Caenorhabditis elegans: one gene and its partners. The protein of the gene in region 1 purifies or fractionates together with the protein of each later gene. This does not show direct contact. Each region holds a gene or a part of one and is shown in the gene's direction. Other genes may lie near its edges. The genes, in order: brd-1, syp-2 and syp-1.

What was found.
Region 2: the proteins of brd-1 (region 1) and syp-2 purify together in Caenorhabditis elegans (affinity purification with western blotting, with the first as the bait; one study listed by BioGRID). This does not show direct contact.
Region 3: the proteins of brd-1 (region 1) and syp-1 purify together in Caenorhabditis elegans (affinity purification with western blotting, with the first as the bait; one study listed by BioGRID). This does not show direct contact.

What each region holds. Positions count from the first base shown.
Region 1 is NC_003281.10:6,884,686-6,891,403, reverse strand, and holds brd-1 (BRCA1-associated RING domain protein 1), read left to right. Parts: upstream 1-1,899; 5' UTR 1,900-1,908; coding exon 1,909-1,970; intron 1,971-2,013; coding exon 2,014-2,073; intron 2,074-2,122; coding exon 2,123-2,291; intron 2,292-2,334; coding exon 2,335-2,510; intron 2,511-2,518; exon of another isoform or gene 2,519-2,601; intron 2,602-2,722; exon of another isoform or gene 2,723-2,813; intron 2,814-2,827; coding exon 2,828-2,887; intron 2,888-2,935; coding exon 2,936-3,113; intron 3,114-3,166; coding exon 3,167-3,475; intron 3,476-3,600; exon of another isoform or gene 3,601-3,688; intron 3,689-3,769; coding exon 3,770-3,983; intron 3,984-4,025; coding exon 4,026-4,226; intron 4,227-4,278; coding exon 4,279-4,376; intron 4,377-4,418; coding exon 4,419-4,534; intron 4,535-5,486; coding exon 5,487-5,646; intron 5,647-5,695; coding exon 5,696-5,756; intron 5,757-5,805; coding exon 5,806-5,948; intron 5,949-6,027; coding exon 6,028-6,129; 3' UTR 6,130-6,197; downstream 6,198-6,718. Other genes in the region: K04C2.5 (INSulin related), read left to right, coding at 102-221, 275-360; K04C2.2 (DNA polymerase V), read right to left, coding at 419-609, 657-744, 789-980, 1,037-1,237, 1,284-1,475, 1,528-1,629; med-2 (GATA-type domain-containing protein), read right to left, coding at 6,377-6,718. UniProt on the Caenorhabditis elegans protein: Constituent of the CeBCD complex that possesses E3 ubiquitin-protein ligase activity.
Region 2 is NC_003283.11:5,534,666-5,538,289, forward strand, and holds syp-2 (Biogenesis of lysosome-related organelles complex 1 subunit 1), read left to right. Parts: upstream 1-1,821; 5' UTR 1,822-2,103; coding exon 2,104-2,160; intron 2,161-2,207; coding exon 2,208-2,366; intron 2,367-2,415; coding exon 2,416-2,667; intron 2,668-2,710; coding exon 2,711-2,884; 3' UTR 2,885-3,052; downstream 3,053-3,624. Other genes in the region: C24G6.8 (putative peptidyl-tRNA hydrolase 2), read right to left, coding at 1-91, 213-464, 835-1,065; cox-16 (Cytochrome c oxidase assembly protein COX16 homolog, mitochondrial), read right to left, coding at 1,058-1,198, 1,249-1,314, 1,415-1,555.
Region 3 is NC_003283.11:16,402,490-16,408,334, forward strand, and holds syp-1 (uncharacterized protein), read left to right. Parts: upstream 1-1,784; 5' UTR 1,785-2,342; coding exon of another isoform or gene 2,343-2,657; 5' UTR 2,658-3,273; coding exon 3,274-3,577; intron 3,578-3,632; coding exon 3,633-3,808; intron 3,809-3,856; coding exon 3,857-3,968; intron 3,969-4,020; coding exon 4,021-4,532; intron 4,533-4,582; coding exon 4,583-4,666; intron 4,667-4,836; coding exon 4,837-5,118; 3' UTR 5,119-5,212; downstream 5,213-5,845. Other genes in the region: F13A7.14 (BZIP domain-containing protein), read left to right, coding at 886-1,386, 2,343-2,657; F26D2.3 (Core-2/I-Branching enzyme), read left to right, coding at 5,474-5,588, 5,637-5,791.

The sequences.
Region 1 (6,718 bases):
AGAAATGTTGTAAACGATTTCTGAATTAATTCTTCATAATTTACCAGCATACATTTTTAAGATACAAGAAATTAAATATTGTTCCAACACTTTTTTTACAGGCGGTGATCCATTTTCTGATGCTGTCTGGCTTCCTGTACTCGATTTATGTTCTATCGAGTGTGAAATAACATCCGAATATTGTGTGGAAAATGAGGAACTTACACAACAATGCAAGAAATGTATGTTTTCGATGTTTAGAAGAAAGCTTGAGTTTTAAAAAATCTTTTTTCAGTACCGGAAGATTGCCAGGCTCTTCTCCGAAAAGCAATCAAACAAATTCAGAGACATATTCGATCACAAAAGCCAGTTTACCTTTAGATAATTTCTATCTCACTAATTTTTGTAAATTTGAACAATAAAGACTCTTGAATATTACCTTTTTACTCATCAATCTGAATTGTCCTTTTCCACGTGTAGCGGTCTCCATTCGATTCAAAACTTCTTTAGTAAATACTACAACAATTGATTTCACATCGCCTCCAAAATCAAAGAATTGAGTGACAATCGTGAGAATTCTATCGAAAACTTTCGTCTCGTTGCTTGAAAGGGCCCATGGCTCGAGAACTTCTGAAAATGAGAATTTATAAAAAAAACTTTTCAAAAGTATAACTTACTCAGGTACATTTTATCAAAACCAGATGATTCAACTGATGCTTTGATGAGAAGTGGAAGAAATACTTGAACTGTGGCGAAGTCACAGCGCTGAAAATAAAGTATTTATAAAAATTTTAAAATAGAAAACTAACCTTTAAAGCAGCCAAAATTTTAGGATACTGATCATCAGAAAATTGAATAGATCCGTCTTTCTTTACAAACTTTGCGTATTTTGCAACCACTGTTGAATGAGAATTACGAAGGCGAAGTGCCAGGTAGACATTTTCCGGTGTGAACTGAGAGCTGAGACCTTCCAAATTCATTTCGATGGCTGGGGATACACTCTGAAATTTAAAAATTAATATAGATTTGTTTTTGTTCAAACAGTAAATTGATTTACCTTTTGGAAAACACTTTCTTTTGTCTTTGTAGCCAAACTGCATAGAAGGTTAATCTGTGAAAATGCCAAGCTTGGAGCAAAGTCTCTGATTTTCTTCGAATGCTCAACAATTTTTGTAGCTTCTGCTTCTTTGAGTTTTCTGGTTTGACAATATGTGACAAGAATAAGATAATGTCCAATTGCATGTCCGGTACCAACAGTCTGAATCGAAACATTTAGTACAAATAAAGGAACTTACAATCCCAACCTTTTCTGCCAGGTCCATCTTTTTATCTGCAACGGCCAATATTTTGTCGAGTTCCCATGATTCGCCTGCTTTTGTCATTAAAATAGTACCCAAAGCGGTTGTATATCCCAAACGAACAGCAGCACGAGCTGAAGCACATCCAGAAATAAGACGTTCAATCACATATGTGTTGAGCTCGTTATCGGATAATTCCTAAAAAAATAACACTTTAATTAGGCATTTATTTCAGCTACTTTTTTCCTACCTCTTGTTTGCTTGAAAGCTGTCTAACTGCTCCTTTTCTGACTAATGGATCGAGCTCAGCAAGCTTTGAAATAATATCGAGTAATTCACTTGGCGGTCTCATGCTTAAAACTTAAAATTATAATTAAAAAGAGAATAAATTGACGAGAGGATCATTCTCGTGAATTTTCCAGACCAAGTAAACTGTATTTTTCTATAAAACACAAAAAATAAATGTAATTTTAGTTTAATGAAAGAAAAAGAAATAGAAGTAAAATATTTTGTTCGTAAAATAAAATGTATTCTGTGCGCACGCACCACACCTGACGCGCAAACAAACAAGTGCGATTTTCGAATTTTATTCTTTTCCTGTTTGATTTAATTATTGTTTCAGCGTCAAATAATGTTTGAAAACACTAAAAAAGCATTGGAAACGTTTCGAACAGCTATCGAGTGTGTTAAATGGTAAGTTGTTGTACAAGATTTTGCCTCTTAAATAAAATTTCAGCAAAAAACCGAGGGGAGACTTGCAATATCTCGGATCATCTTGCAAACATGCTTATTGCTGGTAGGTATTGCAACCTAATAAATTGTCAATAACTTCAGTTTATGTTCAGGGAATGTATCGCCACATTTCAACAGAAACCGTCTGGAAAACGCTCTTCAGTGGCTCGACACATGTGTCCGAGTTGTGCTTTCCCACTAGACACATCCAAAATCACAGAAGCTCATATGCTGAAAACGTGCTTTGATACTTTGTCTGAACTAAACGACCTTTTACAGAAAGTAAGTCAATGGTGAAAAGCTCGAAAATTAAATTCTCATTTAGGTCGGAACAACATCTCTAACTCAAGCAGAGTTTGCCTGTACACAAAACATTTTTAACAAAGAAAAAACTCCAGCTGATGCCGTAGAGAAATTCCTGGAGACGCAAGCTCATATGCCAGACGAGATGGGACAACTTGGTGAAGAGGATGATGATTTGATGTGTAAAGATGAAAACCGGTAAGTCGAAAAAATCTGCGTTCGGGGGGAATCGAACCCCCGTCGAATGCTTGGAAGGCATCCATGCTGACCATTACACCACGAACGCGACATATCGGGGATATCTTTCCGAGAAAACGATTCCCGTCATGCTTCTTCTACAAACCTGATGCGGTCTATTTGGTGGCTTCAAGTAGAAATGTCTCTTCATTTAATAGCTGGTTTCCCATGCCGCGTTCGTGGTGTAATGGTCAGCATGGATGCCTTCCAAGCATTCGACGGGGGTTCGATTCCCCCCGAACGCAGAACTTTTTTTCATATTTTCCCAGTAAATTCAGGGAAAATTCAAACTCTCCAGAATTGGATATATTCCACGACTACAGCAAAGAAGCTTCTCCGTGAGTTTGTTACATTGCTTCAATTAATTGAATTTTATTTACTTTTAGAACGCGTAATTCGACAAAACGCCCTTCAACTGTCAGTGTTCATGAGAGAAAACCCAAAAGGTCATCGATACTGAAAACTTCCGTCAAAAATGAACCGGCTGCGCCTGTAGTTGATCTTTTTGCATCGCAAGTTCCGCAGAGAACTCATCAAAATGATTTACTGACGCCGTTTATTGAGGTATGACAATTTCACTTTAAAGACGCTTCAGAACTTTAACGGAAATTCTTCAGCGTCGCTCAACTGCTCCAGCAGCAACTGGTGTTGCAACGTATGCTCAAGCTTTCGGAAGTAGCAGTAATCCAGTTAAAGCCGAAATTATCGAAGAAGATATTTTCTCGAAAGCGATTCCTCTCACAAAACGGCAAGCTTCAATGAGTGCGAGCGCCAAGAAACAACCAAAATTGGAACCTGAAGAACCAGAAGAAGTACCATCGACGTCTAGAAGTCGTAAAAATTCGATTAAATCCGATAAAATCGAACGACGATCTCAATCACCGATGAGTTTTGGAGAGAAGTCGATGAGTGTGAAATCAGAGCAAGTGAGTGACTTCAATAAAAGAGTTTTCGGGCGTTCGTCTTTCTACTCTGTCACGCTCAACGTCCACATTATCTTGTTGTCTGCGCCTCTGTCCCTTACTTAACAAGTCTTTGCATCACAGCACGCATGGCCTCCTTAGCTCAGTTGGTAGAGCGTGAGACTTTTAATCTTAAGGTCAGGGGTTCGAGTCCCCTAGGTGGCTTGACTTTTTTTTTTGAAAATTGAACTTGATCTCTACGCCTTCATTCCAATTTTCACATTTTCGCAAACTTTTTGCAATTTTTTAAATGTTCAGCGTCGCAGTTCTTATGGTACTCGTCGTGGTGAAGCTGTCCTGGTCAATTCAATTCGCAATAATCGTATTCCTCAACTTCGAAGTGCTGTAGAGGCAGGAACGTGCGTAAATGAGAAAGAAGACGGAAAGACACCACTTTACGTGGCAGTTGAGAATAGCTCATTGGAAGCTGTTAAGATACTTGTTGAAGCGGGTGCAGTTATTAATGCTTCATGTAAGAAACAACTTCTATCAACTTTCTTGACGAAGAATTCAGGCGGCTCAACATTAGAAACAACGCTTCACGAGGCTGTTCGCCGTCAAAATACTCAAATTGTTGAATATCTTTTATCGAAAGGTGCCAGCATCAAAATTCGAAATATTGCTGGAAAAACTGTCGAAGAAATGGCTAAAAGTGATCCGAAAATTAGGAAAATAATCGAAAAATTCAAGACTGAACAGAGAGTTTTACAGCCTGGTAAGAAATTTTTTGACAATTTTATTCTTCGTGATAAAAATTGAATTTTCAGTCGTCGCCCCTCCAAAATCTCGTCTTCATTTCGTTCAACTCATAGATGAGAAGATGCTCACTGAATCTGAAAAACGAAAACTTCCCGGAAAAATCAATGTAAAAACAATTAATTTTTAAAAATAAAATAAATTTATTCAGATAGTTCCTGCTGATATGGATTCTCCGACGCATGTGGTAGTCACCGTTGATTTGAAAACTCGTGTGCTCAATATTAACAAGGAGCATATTGGAGAAATTTTAAAAGCTATCATAAAGTAGGTTTTTAAAATTATCCTAAAAAGTGGGAGATAGTCATTTTGGGATTTTTAATGTCAGAAAATAGACCGTAATGACAGACTATAGCTGTTAAGAAATTAATTTTTTCGAAATTTTTCAAAAAATGGGCTACTTATTTTTAAATTCTCGCGCAAATAAATGGAAGGCATTTGTTCGTAAGAAAACGCATGATAATCAGAAAGAAATTCGCTGAAACTTCAAAATTGAATTGAAAGTCGATAATTTCACATTTATTCATCTTTTTTTTTGCTTAAAAAATTTATGAAAATCTGACAATCTTCGGAACATCAAGCAAAAATCACGAAAAGCGTTCGAATTTAGCCATTCATTTGCACGAGAGTTCAAAACTAATCAGAACTTATTATTTTTCCAAAGCTGAAATAATTTTTTAACAGTTATATTCGGTAATTATGGTCTATTTTCTATCATTCCTTCAAATCAGGTCGCAATGCATTACATATTTATTGGAGATAAAAAGATAATTAGGCACGAACACAGGCTCCTGCCACACATTTTTTTCCAACTGGACAGTCAAAAGTACAAGGTTCATCAGCATTTTCGTCAGTGATAACAACTCCACCACTTGCATGATTTGAAAAAAGACATTGTCCATAAACACAAAGCCTATTATCCGAGCAATCCGAATCAGTTCGACATTCTGCTTTCTTTGCATTAACATAAATTGAAAGAAGAAGAAGAAGGAAACACTGCAAAATTAGTTTTGAATATTAGCAAAAGTAGTATATAACTCACCAGAAACACCTTCATTTCAGTTTCACAGTGGCTCGATTGTATTATAAAATGCGTTTCCCTGTCTAGTTATAGACTGATCCCATGGGAAAATTGCAAACAATCGCAAGGGTGCAGTATGAGAGCCAAAAAAATCTATGTGAAAATATGAAATTTCAAAGCGGAAATTCATACTTTCAGATCGGGAATGATAGTTAGTCGAGATTGGCTGAGAGCGTGCATTATTGATCCATCGAAAGTCGATGATGATCGTTCTTATATGGTTCAGAAAGTTAGATGGATGGAAGGTGAAGTATTTGAAAATACTATTGAACAATGGAAGAAGACAATCACTAAAATGGTACGGATTTGATTTCCACTAAAGAAAAAAATACAACCAAATTTTTCAGCAACCAAAATTGTTCGCCGGTTGCAAATTTTTCATTCCAAAGCCAAAGTATAACTTCCTCGGTACGATTCTAATTTACAGTATTTTAATTTTTTCAATTTTCAATTTCAGATCGCCCAGCTCTTTTTGAAATTATTCGATCTGCCGGTGGTCAAGCTGCAGCGAGGGAGCCCATTATTGACGAAAAAGATCCACCGCCGTACCATAATGCCAACTTGAAACCAAACTTTGTGCTCTACAGCTTGACACATGATGTAAGTTTAACGAAGGAGTTTTCCTGTTATTATGGATTCGGTAGTTTCAGTTTGGTGACATTTTTATTTCTCTTTACAGATAGGAGACAAATTCCGCGACTGCACAAAGTACAATCTTGTCAGCGAGCAGTGGTTAATAGAGGCGATTCTTGGATGCTCCATCACAACACCACCACATTAACCATTTTCCGTTTTAAAATATTTTCTTTTGCGTTTCTATTGTAAAATTGCAATATGAATGATTATTTTTTGAAGTGTTATTTTATACACAACGGCATCCAATCCATGCAATTAAAGTTATGATGTAATTAAAATCGAGAACAAGATATAAATATAAGTTATGAGATCATATTAATTAAAAACAATTTACCGGCTTAAAACAAGAAAATTACAATTGAGTTATACAATTTACAATGATACAATTTACATTAAGAAGAATCTACACCATTCGTTTCCTGTACCTTTAATTTTCTTTTTTGATATTTGTTAACGGCAGTGACTGGACGAGTCTCATTATATTTCCGTTGATAAATAAAACAAGCATTACATTGAATTCCTTCCTTTGATCGAATATTCCTCCAACGAATTGTTTCAGTTACTGAACAATTTGAGCATTGAAATGACTTCTTATTATCAGAATTGCTCGGTGGAGTTGAACTTTGAGTAGAGGTAGATGGAGATGTAGATGGAGTAGAAAAATGAGTAAACGTGGTGAAATGGGAAGAATTAGGACTTCCAGTAGTTGGTGAAATATTTAAAGATGAAGAATC
Region 2 (3,624 bases), on another chromosome or scaffold:
CTCCCATTTCTTCGTCTGCTTCGTTCTCACTGCTACTCGAATCCTCGTCGAAATCGCTTTCGTTGGAACGTTCAACAATCCAAGCAACTGCCTGAAATATGAGAGACAATTATGAGATCTGTTTAATATACATGAAACATAATTTCATGCGTGTTATTAACATAATTAAAGTTAATGTGTTCTAGCGCAAAACATAAAGAAATAAACGGCACCTGTTCAACGCCGGCGCTATTCGTTCTTTTCAACGCAAGAACTGCAGTGTACTCGTCGAATCCTAAATCGAGAAGATGCGCCAAATACTCGTTGTTAACTTCGTTAGGTTCTTGTGGATCGACTGGATGACTGGATGTCGAACCTTGCTCGTCGTTGCGAAGAATTCCAGGTCTTGAAGTGTCGGATGGTGTGGGAACTGGATCAGATAAAGCTTGACTGGAGATTGAGATTGCAGATGATGGGATCGGCACCTGGAAATTATTTTTTATTATCAGATTATTGAAGCTAGAATTCACAGCCTCCTTGGATGCGCCTTTCAATCATTTCTAGCTCTTGTTTTTTGCTAACTTTCATTTAAAATATGTTCATAAACACATAATGTTACTATTATAATAGTATCTTATAAAAATTATGGTTTTTGTACGAGTATTTTTTACATTAAGGGTTGCTCATTGAAAACATTCTGCAGGTGTTTATTTTTCTTTTATTTAATAGAGAAATATCAGCTTTACCGCGGATATGGATACTCAAATCAATTGAAAATTGTGAAAATATCGGGATTTACAGAAGACAACTACGCGCCGTAATATCGCGCCGAGGAGTCTGTGAGTATATACATACTTCTGGAATTTCTCCGCTGAAAGGATCGTTAATTGGTAAATGCGAGAATGACCGATCCGGCAGGGAGGGTGCGTTGTCGACTGTCACGGACGACGGAGTCGGTGAACCTCTCTCTGCTCGGATTGAAGCGTTATCTGGTTCTGGAGGATTATCAACTCCAAGGTCCTGATGTTGTCCTGGCGCGTTTGGAAGGAGCTCGTTGGGGTCAATGTCGGGGATGTTTTCAGACATTAGATTTCAACTCTCGAACTTTGCGACTAGCTTCTTGTTGCTGCTTTTTGATTAGGTTATAGTCGGTGAGATCTTCAGTATCTCTTGGACCTCGGATGTTTTCCCAGTTGTCCGTGTCAAGTTCAGCGACTTCCTTAAAACTATGTATTTATTAAAGATCTTTTTTTTTTTTCAAAAACCCACTTTATAAACTGACTCGACAGTGACTCCTTCGCGAAGACGCAGACCGCTTCTTGTCAAATCTGACCTCTGCAAACAATAAATTTAGAGTTTAAATGAGAAAAAAAATTAGAAAAGGGTAGAAATCACACGTTAATAGGTTGAGATATTTTCTAGAAACGAAACGCACCAAGAGCTCAAGATTATCGTCTTCTTGCTTGATTTTTCGAAAATCGAATCGGACTTGTTGGAAAAAGTGAAGTCCGTACGCGCTACCCAAGACGATTGCGAAAAATGGAAGCCCGACACGAACAAACTTCAGACGGCTCATAAACGTTTAAACGAACCGCACGACTGAAAGATTTAGAAATTCGAAGAGACATTCATGAACTGTCGCCCTCGTGAGCTAAGTGTATTAATAAATTGTGAAATATCGGAAATAACTCGCGAAAAAGAGCACAAAGAGGGGCAATTGAGAAAGAAAATAAAAATTGGTTTGCGTCCGCGATTCGCTAAACAACATGCGCATGCGTTAGAGCGGAGCGTCGTTACAACAGAGAAATCAAGAAAACAAGTGATCATTCTTGAGATACATGCATGCGAGGCAGCTGTAAACTGAAAGCATTAAAAAGTCTTAAATTATTTCATGATTGAAAAGCAGATGGTTCAATAAACAAATCCTTGAAAACTATTAAATCTGCATTTAAAAATGTACTACTGTAACTTTAAAGGCGCATTACAAAATAATTCCACAGCGTTGCCAGACCAACACATGGAAAATGACCGATACCGTAGTTTTTGTGAATTCTTTACCAAATTCCATTTCGATTCCATTATTCTTTTTTTTTAATTTTAAACTTCGCTTCTGAGAATTTTTGAATGAATTCTGCCCATCGATCTTCGCTCAAAAAGCGGCCAGGACCCCAAGATGACCGGGTAATTGAAGTCTTCTTATTGGTTCACTAAAAATATTGAATCTTTAGAGAGTCAGCTTCGCATCTCCAGTGTCTTCTTCACAGAAAACAGCTGCAGTAACTGTGGCGGCCCAAACTAAACAACCTGCAAAAGCGAAAAATCTTCGAACTATGCATTCCACGCCGAAGAAATCGAAACCTGCTCATGATGTGGCCGATATAATTTCAGTATGATCCAATGTTATTCAGAAAATAAATCAATTAAAATTTATTTCAGCTTGTGAGTAAGCAAAGCGACATATTGGATGACGTTTCTGAAATTGAACACAAAATGATCAAGCAGGCGAAAATGACACAAGATCTGACAATGGAGCTGGCAAATTCAATCGAACGTATCGCAAATATGGCATTAGCCGAAAGTAAACTCAGCGACCAAATGGAGAAACAGTCAAAGAAGCTCATTTCTCTAGAAGGAAAAACAAAAGAGCTCGTCGAGAAAGCCAACAATTGGTCTAAAACACTCGAAAATGTAAGAATTAGATAATTAGTAAATATATATTTAAAAATTTCAGCGCGTTGACGCCAGATCGCATCATTCCACTTGTCTCAATGATGTTCAGGCGGCTATAAAAATAATCAATAATGCAAAAATCAACAACGATGGGTTCTCGGAAGATTTCTCTGCTCATTACGACAAACTTCTGGATTTGGTTGAAACGCTCGAGCCGTGGGCTGACAAGTTATAAATCATCTGTTGTATTCAATTTCCTTGTTTTATTACATGACATGTATCATTTTAATGTTTGTCCATCGTATTGCATGTATTGCTTTCTCAAATATGGGAACTTTTTTTTTTGAAAAAAAAACAATCCAAAATCCATATTTGACCAAAATGAATAAAATTTTGTTTAAAAACTCGCATCACTCAACTTTCACAGAATGCATTACGCCTCCGCCGCATAGGACACAGGACAAAATGAAACGTATGAAACAAAAACTTGAAAAATTTGAATTTCAAAATATCAATTTATGCAAATCCACCAATTGTCCGATGGCGTAGTTTCCTTTTACTCTTTTTGACTGTAACTCGATAAATGTTTCACAAAGTATGAACGGTAAGTTTTTTTTGAATACTTATGCAATTTGTGGAGTAGCGTCTGTGTTTTTTTTTCCCAAAAATAACAGAAAAAATCTTATTATGCCGAATAATAGTGTAAAAAAATTATAGAATTTTTCTAAATTTTTACTGATTTGTAGAAAAAAGTTTGCCAAGAAGATTTTTTTCACGTTTTCCGGCTGTACTTATCGATTTTTGTTTCATTTTTTCTTCGATTATTGATTTTTTTCCCGACAAATTAAAATACAAAACATAGAAAAAAACATGGAAAAATCAACGCGATATCTTATGCGCATGGGTCTCGCCACGCGGATAACGAGTTACTGTATTACGATAACACAAAGTTCTGAAAATGCGTATTGCACAACA
Region 3 (5,845 bases), on another chromosome or scaffold:
AGTTAAAAATCTATTGAAATCCCTATTTTCCGTTGAAAATCCAAAAAAAATCGGCAAATTTCCGAGAAAAATTCTTTTTTTTTAAACAAGAAACCAGAAAAACCAGGTTTTCCAATAAAATAACTTTAAAAAATTCCAGTTTATCATGTAAAAATCAAGAAATATTCGAATTTTCCGATAAAAAAGCGGAAAATTTCTGATTTTCCCTCTATAAAACCAGAAAATATTGACTTTTTCAAGAAAATTCTTTGTTTTCCTCAAAAAACCTTAAAATCCTGATTTTTCACGGAAGAATCCAGAAAATGTTCAGTTTTAATAAGAAAAATCTAGAAAAATCCGGTTTTTCCACTAAAAAGCGGAAAATTTTTGATTTTCTTCAATGAAAACACAAGGAAAATTCGAATTTTCCAGTTAAAAATCTATTAAAATCCATATTTTCCGCTGAAAACACAAAAAAAGCCAATTTCAGAATAAAATTCAATTTTTTAACAAAAAAAAACGGAAAATCTAGATTTTTCAACGAAAAAATCCAGAAAAACCGGGTTTTCCAATGAAATAACTTTAAAAATTCCAGTTGATCATGTAAAAATCGAGAAATATTCAAATTTCCCGATAAAAAGACAAGAAAAATGGTTAATAGTCAGAAAAATTCCATTACAACAAAAATATACCAAAAAAAATTCGAGTTTTCCAATAAAAAATCAGAAAAATGCCTTTTTTTTCAATTCAAAAGCGCGATACAAATCCAAAAAGCCAAAAAAATGTTTTTTTTTAAATTTTTCTGTAAAATCTGAAAAATTGTATTTTCTCATAAAAAACAACCTGAAATTTTCAATTTTTTAAAATAAAAAACCCAATTTTTTTAAAAAATCAAATATTTTTCAGCTACAACCCGGTCCATCACCAAAACCCTATAGATTTACTGAATCTGAACCTCCTGTTCCACCACCACCACCAACTACAACAACTCCAAAACTTCATCACGATGAAACTCTCGACCTTGACGCGACATTTGATCAACCAAATCTCAAAAGGCGACGAGTTCACCTCGATCGTTCTAGTCCAGAAAATCAATATCCAAGTGAAGATTCGATTTACGAGTTCACCCAATTTACACTACAAAAATGGGAACACGAAGAGTCTCGGCGACAAGAAAAACGGAAAAGAAAGCGAGTTGCTGAGCGAATTGAACGGGAAAATTATGTGCATAATGCTATGGAAAATTTCAATTTAAATATGCCGAGCGTGTCGGATGTGGAGAAGCTTCGCCGAGAACGAGATCAATTTAAGAAGGAAATGGAAAAGTATCGGAGCAAATGTGAGAAGCTTGAGAAGAGATGTGAGCAGTTGGAGATGGAAAAGAAGAATTCGGTGCCAGTTTTTCAGGTAAAAATTTGCAGTGAAATTGGACTATTTTCGCAAATTTTGGCATTAAATCGTCAAAAATTGTATTTTATGATTAAAAAACTATACATTTAGCGATTTTCAGCGAAATTTTGCGATTTTCAGCAAGAATTTTAGCAAATTTGAATGCTAAAAATTAGCAAAAACGGACTAAAATTAAGAATTCCAGCAAAAAAAAACTGCACACTTCTCCTAGAGGGGTACAAAAACTGCGTGAAACCACGCCCATTTTTCTGTGCGGCACTGTTGGTTTTTTTTCGATTTCGACGCAAATTTGTCTTTCTTTGCCGATTTTTTTTTGCGTTTTTGATGTTGAAGAAATTTTAAATTCTTAAAAATACACTTTTCATGTTATTTTCCACTCGGAGAGGGAATTTTGCGTATTTTCAAATTTTTTTTCCTAAAAAACGTCAAAAATACAAAAAAATACCTTCTCCGAGTAAAAATCTACATGAAAAGTGTCACAATTAAAAAAAAATGGATGAAAAATACGAATTTCCTTCGAAATTCAAAAAATTACAAAAGTACGGCACGGAAAAATGGGCGTGTCTTAGCGCCAAGTTCGCGGTAATTCAAATTCCAAAAATTGTCAGAGCAGTTCTGTCGATTTACGCGGCCCGTGTACTCCTCGTGGAGAAGTGTGCATTTGTTTTCAGAAGATCCTGCATTTCTTGGCTTAAACCCCTACGGTAGCCGGTCTCGACACGAAAATTGTTGTAAAGTGCAAAACAAGTATGCGCCTTTAAGGATTACTGTATTTTCAAAATTTCTTCATCGATTTTTCATAGTGTTCCGAATAAATTTTTAAAAATCTAAAATAAAATTCCCATTTTCCGTAAAACTACAGTAATCTTTAAAGGCGCACACCTTTTCAAATTTAACAAAAATTTTAAAAAATCACAAAATTTCACGTCTCGGAAATAAATAAAAATTTTCAGCCATTCAACAGCAATTTCTACTTTGGACCGGCGACAGCTTCAACTCTTCAACCATTCCAACTACAACCTCCGGCTCTTCAATTCACACACTCGTTCAACTTCACCGCATTACCCTCTACTTCTGCACCATTCCCACCGGCTCCTTCTGCTGCTGCTCCAGCACCTTCCCCGTTCAGCCAAATGGGACCTGTTGGACCAATGGCTCCACGATATACTGATCCGATCACCGTGTACGATTACAATGATGATGATGATACTTCGTTGAGTGATCTGTCGAATAGTTCGAAAAGTGATATTTCTGATGATCTCAAGTGAAACATGAATAATCTACTTATAGAAATGTGTGAATATTTTTTTTTGGATTTCCAATGCGTGTAACATTCGTCTTTTTATGTTTTTTTTCAAATTCACAATTAAACAATAAATCATATTACTTGTATTTCGAGGAGCTGGACACAGGGTCTTGACACGACAATTTTAAATATTTACTTACGGACTTTTTTCAATAAATAATTATATTTTCAATGAAAAGCTAATGTTCGAAATCACAAAGGAGCACAACCAATTCAAAATCAGCGCTGATTTTTTGTTCAATTTTCCGTCTTTTTTTCCTGAATTTTACGAAGTTTTCTGCAGTTTTTGTCATGTTTTACAGCAAAAAAACCATATAATCTTGAAAAAAATAGCTGCAACAAAACGCGCTCCATTGACAAAATCTCAAGTTACTGTAGGCAATCTGCAAATTTGCGCCGCGGTGTTTGCGGCCTCCGCTCATATTAAAAAAAATATTTTAAAAATTATTCTTTAAATTTTAAACCGTTTTACAAAGTTTTTTTCTTCATTTTTCAATCTTTTTTCTTCGATTTTTCCAATTTTTAATATAAATTTTTGCCGAAAATGCTTATAAATATTTATTTTCAGGTTTCTGGCAATGGATAACTTCACAATTTGGGTTGACGCTCCCACTGAAGCACTTATTGAGACACCAGTTGATGACCAATCGTCAGGCTTTCTTCGCGATGAGATCATGCTCACACAGCAATACGTTCTTGAGAAGCTTGACGAGCAGACTGAGCAAGATAAAGGCGAGCAAACTGATGAGCAGGCGGCGAAATCTCGCGAGCTGGCTTCTCAAGTTCAAACCGAGTCGCAACGAATGCATGATATAAAGAAGGAGCTTAACGTATTCAAAGAGTCGTGCAAGTCGATCGAATTGCAACTTGTCTCTGTCAAAAGTGAGAAAATGTTCAATTTTTCTTGAAAATCATCACTGAAAATATCCAATTTCAGAAAGCATCCCAGATCGCACCAAGCTACAATCAGGCGAAAAGGAGAAAAGTCTTAATGAAGCGGATTATGAGTTATCCAAATTCGAAGATTTGTTGTCTAGTCGTGAAAGAGAGCTCACTAAGATAATTCAACGCGAACAATCTCGTAATAACGGAGAAGCTAAAAATGAGTGCAAGGTTAGTTATTGAATATTCTTTTTTAAATTATCAATTGAATATTTTCAGAGGCTTCGTGAAATGATCATGGCAGCCAAGCAGAAACATGAAAAATTGGTGGAGCTGAATTCGTCGTGCGCAATGATGCAAGCGAAATACGATGAAATGATAATTCGCCAAGGTATTAAATTCTTCAGTAAATAGAAAATATGAAATGTTCTTCTAAATTTCAGATCAAGACCGAGAAGCGCTCGAAGAGGGAAAACTGAATCTCAAAGCATCAGAGGAGAAGTTGGAGCAAATGAGGGAAGATTGCGTCACACTCCGTTCTCAGCTATTTCAATTCGAAGCAAGCCGTTCGCAAGACAAAACGACTGAAATTGAAAAGGAAATCGAAAAGATCACAGCGGAGACTGCAAAAGTTCGAGTGGAAAATGAACAGCTGAAAGCTTCCCTCTCAAAGATCAAGGAGGATACGAAAATATTAAAATTGAAGTATGAGGCACGTCAACAAGAAGACATCGAGAATAAGAAATTGATTGAAGAGCGCAAAAGATCAATTATCGAACTTCTTCGTCGAAAAATTGCTGAAAAGAAGAAATCAAATACAGTTAAAGGATCAGATCGAAAGAAAATCACCAGTCTCAAAAAAGCAATTGCTAAAGAACAAGAGAAGCTAGAGAAAGGAAAGAAGGAACTGGAGCAGCTCCAATCTTCAAAAACGGAGAGTGATCTTGAAGAAGAGGTTATTCCTTAAATATATAGTACTGTAACCAATAATTTTTTATTGTTCAGATCTCTGCTATGCAGTTGGAAATCAATGACTATGATAAGCAAATCAAGGACGCCGCCAAGGAACACGAGAAGTTGTTCAATCAAGTAATAATAATTTTTGAATTTAATACAGAGTTATTTGTAGACTCAAAATGTGCCCAAAAGAACCAATTTCGCTATGAAACAAGAAAATTTTATTGTGGTTCAAAATTTACCCCATTTTTCGATAGTTTTTTCAACGGAAATTGTTCACTAATTTTTTTTCCATTTTTCAGATTAAAGAACAACGTGCTGCAAACGGCGATCAATTTAACGACACCATCGATATCGTGGAATCCGACTATTCAGATCGAGTAGTTCCGCCGCAGCCAAGTGTAGAAGTTACTCCAGTACACCGACAAGTGTCTCATGATGTATTCTCGGCGCCATTGATGACGAGCACACCACTTACCGCAGCTACCAGACCGTTGAAACGAACTCGTGCGGCCGATCGTCTTAAAACGAGAGCCGAAGCTCATACTGCAGATGTTCGCCGAAAGAGAGGAGGGAAGAAATAATGTGTGTGTGGGGAAGAAACGACTATGTACCATTTCAATCTTGTGCTATTTTTTTTTGTGTTTTTAGAGTTTTATATAAAGTAATTTGCGGCAACGAGAGAGAAAAAACCAGATTTCAATTCTTCTCGAATTGCAGGAAGAATCTTTTTTCAAAAAAACTCCCCGACAAATTGGCCAATTTGAACGGGAATTGTTCTCGCATGTCTTGTCTAAGTTCAAACACTTTTTTTTTTAATTCCCACAGGTCAACACACAATGCACGCCTTCCACTAGACATTCCTCCAATTTTTCCGCCCTTTTAATCTGATTTTTTTTGCAAAGGCGGCGGAAGACTTTATCTACATACTTACCTCAAATGTCTCAACAAAGACAATTGCCCTATTCGGTTATTCTACTTATTTTGGGATTTACTTTTATAATTTACTTAGTTTCTCCCACAACACTCCTCAATCTGTTCTATGGAGAATTTGGTGAGATCTTCGAGCTTCTTGTTTCTCTGAAAAGTACATTTTCTTTAGATCCTTATCTATCGGCGGACCGGAAAGTTGTCGTTTACGAGAAAATGATTGAGGCATTGAGGAATATGGATAAATATTGTAAAGATCGAAGGTTCTATTGCAAACGGCCCGAAACTCGACATGTGGATTGCAGACGGGTCCTTCGAGGGGATAAGGTTGGCAGCCGACATCTTACTGGTTTTTATTTTATTTGTTACTTAGACGTCTGA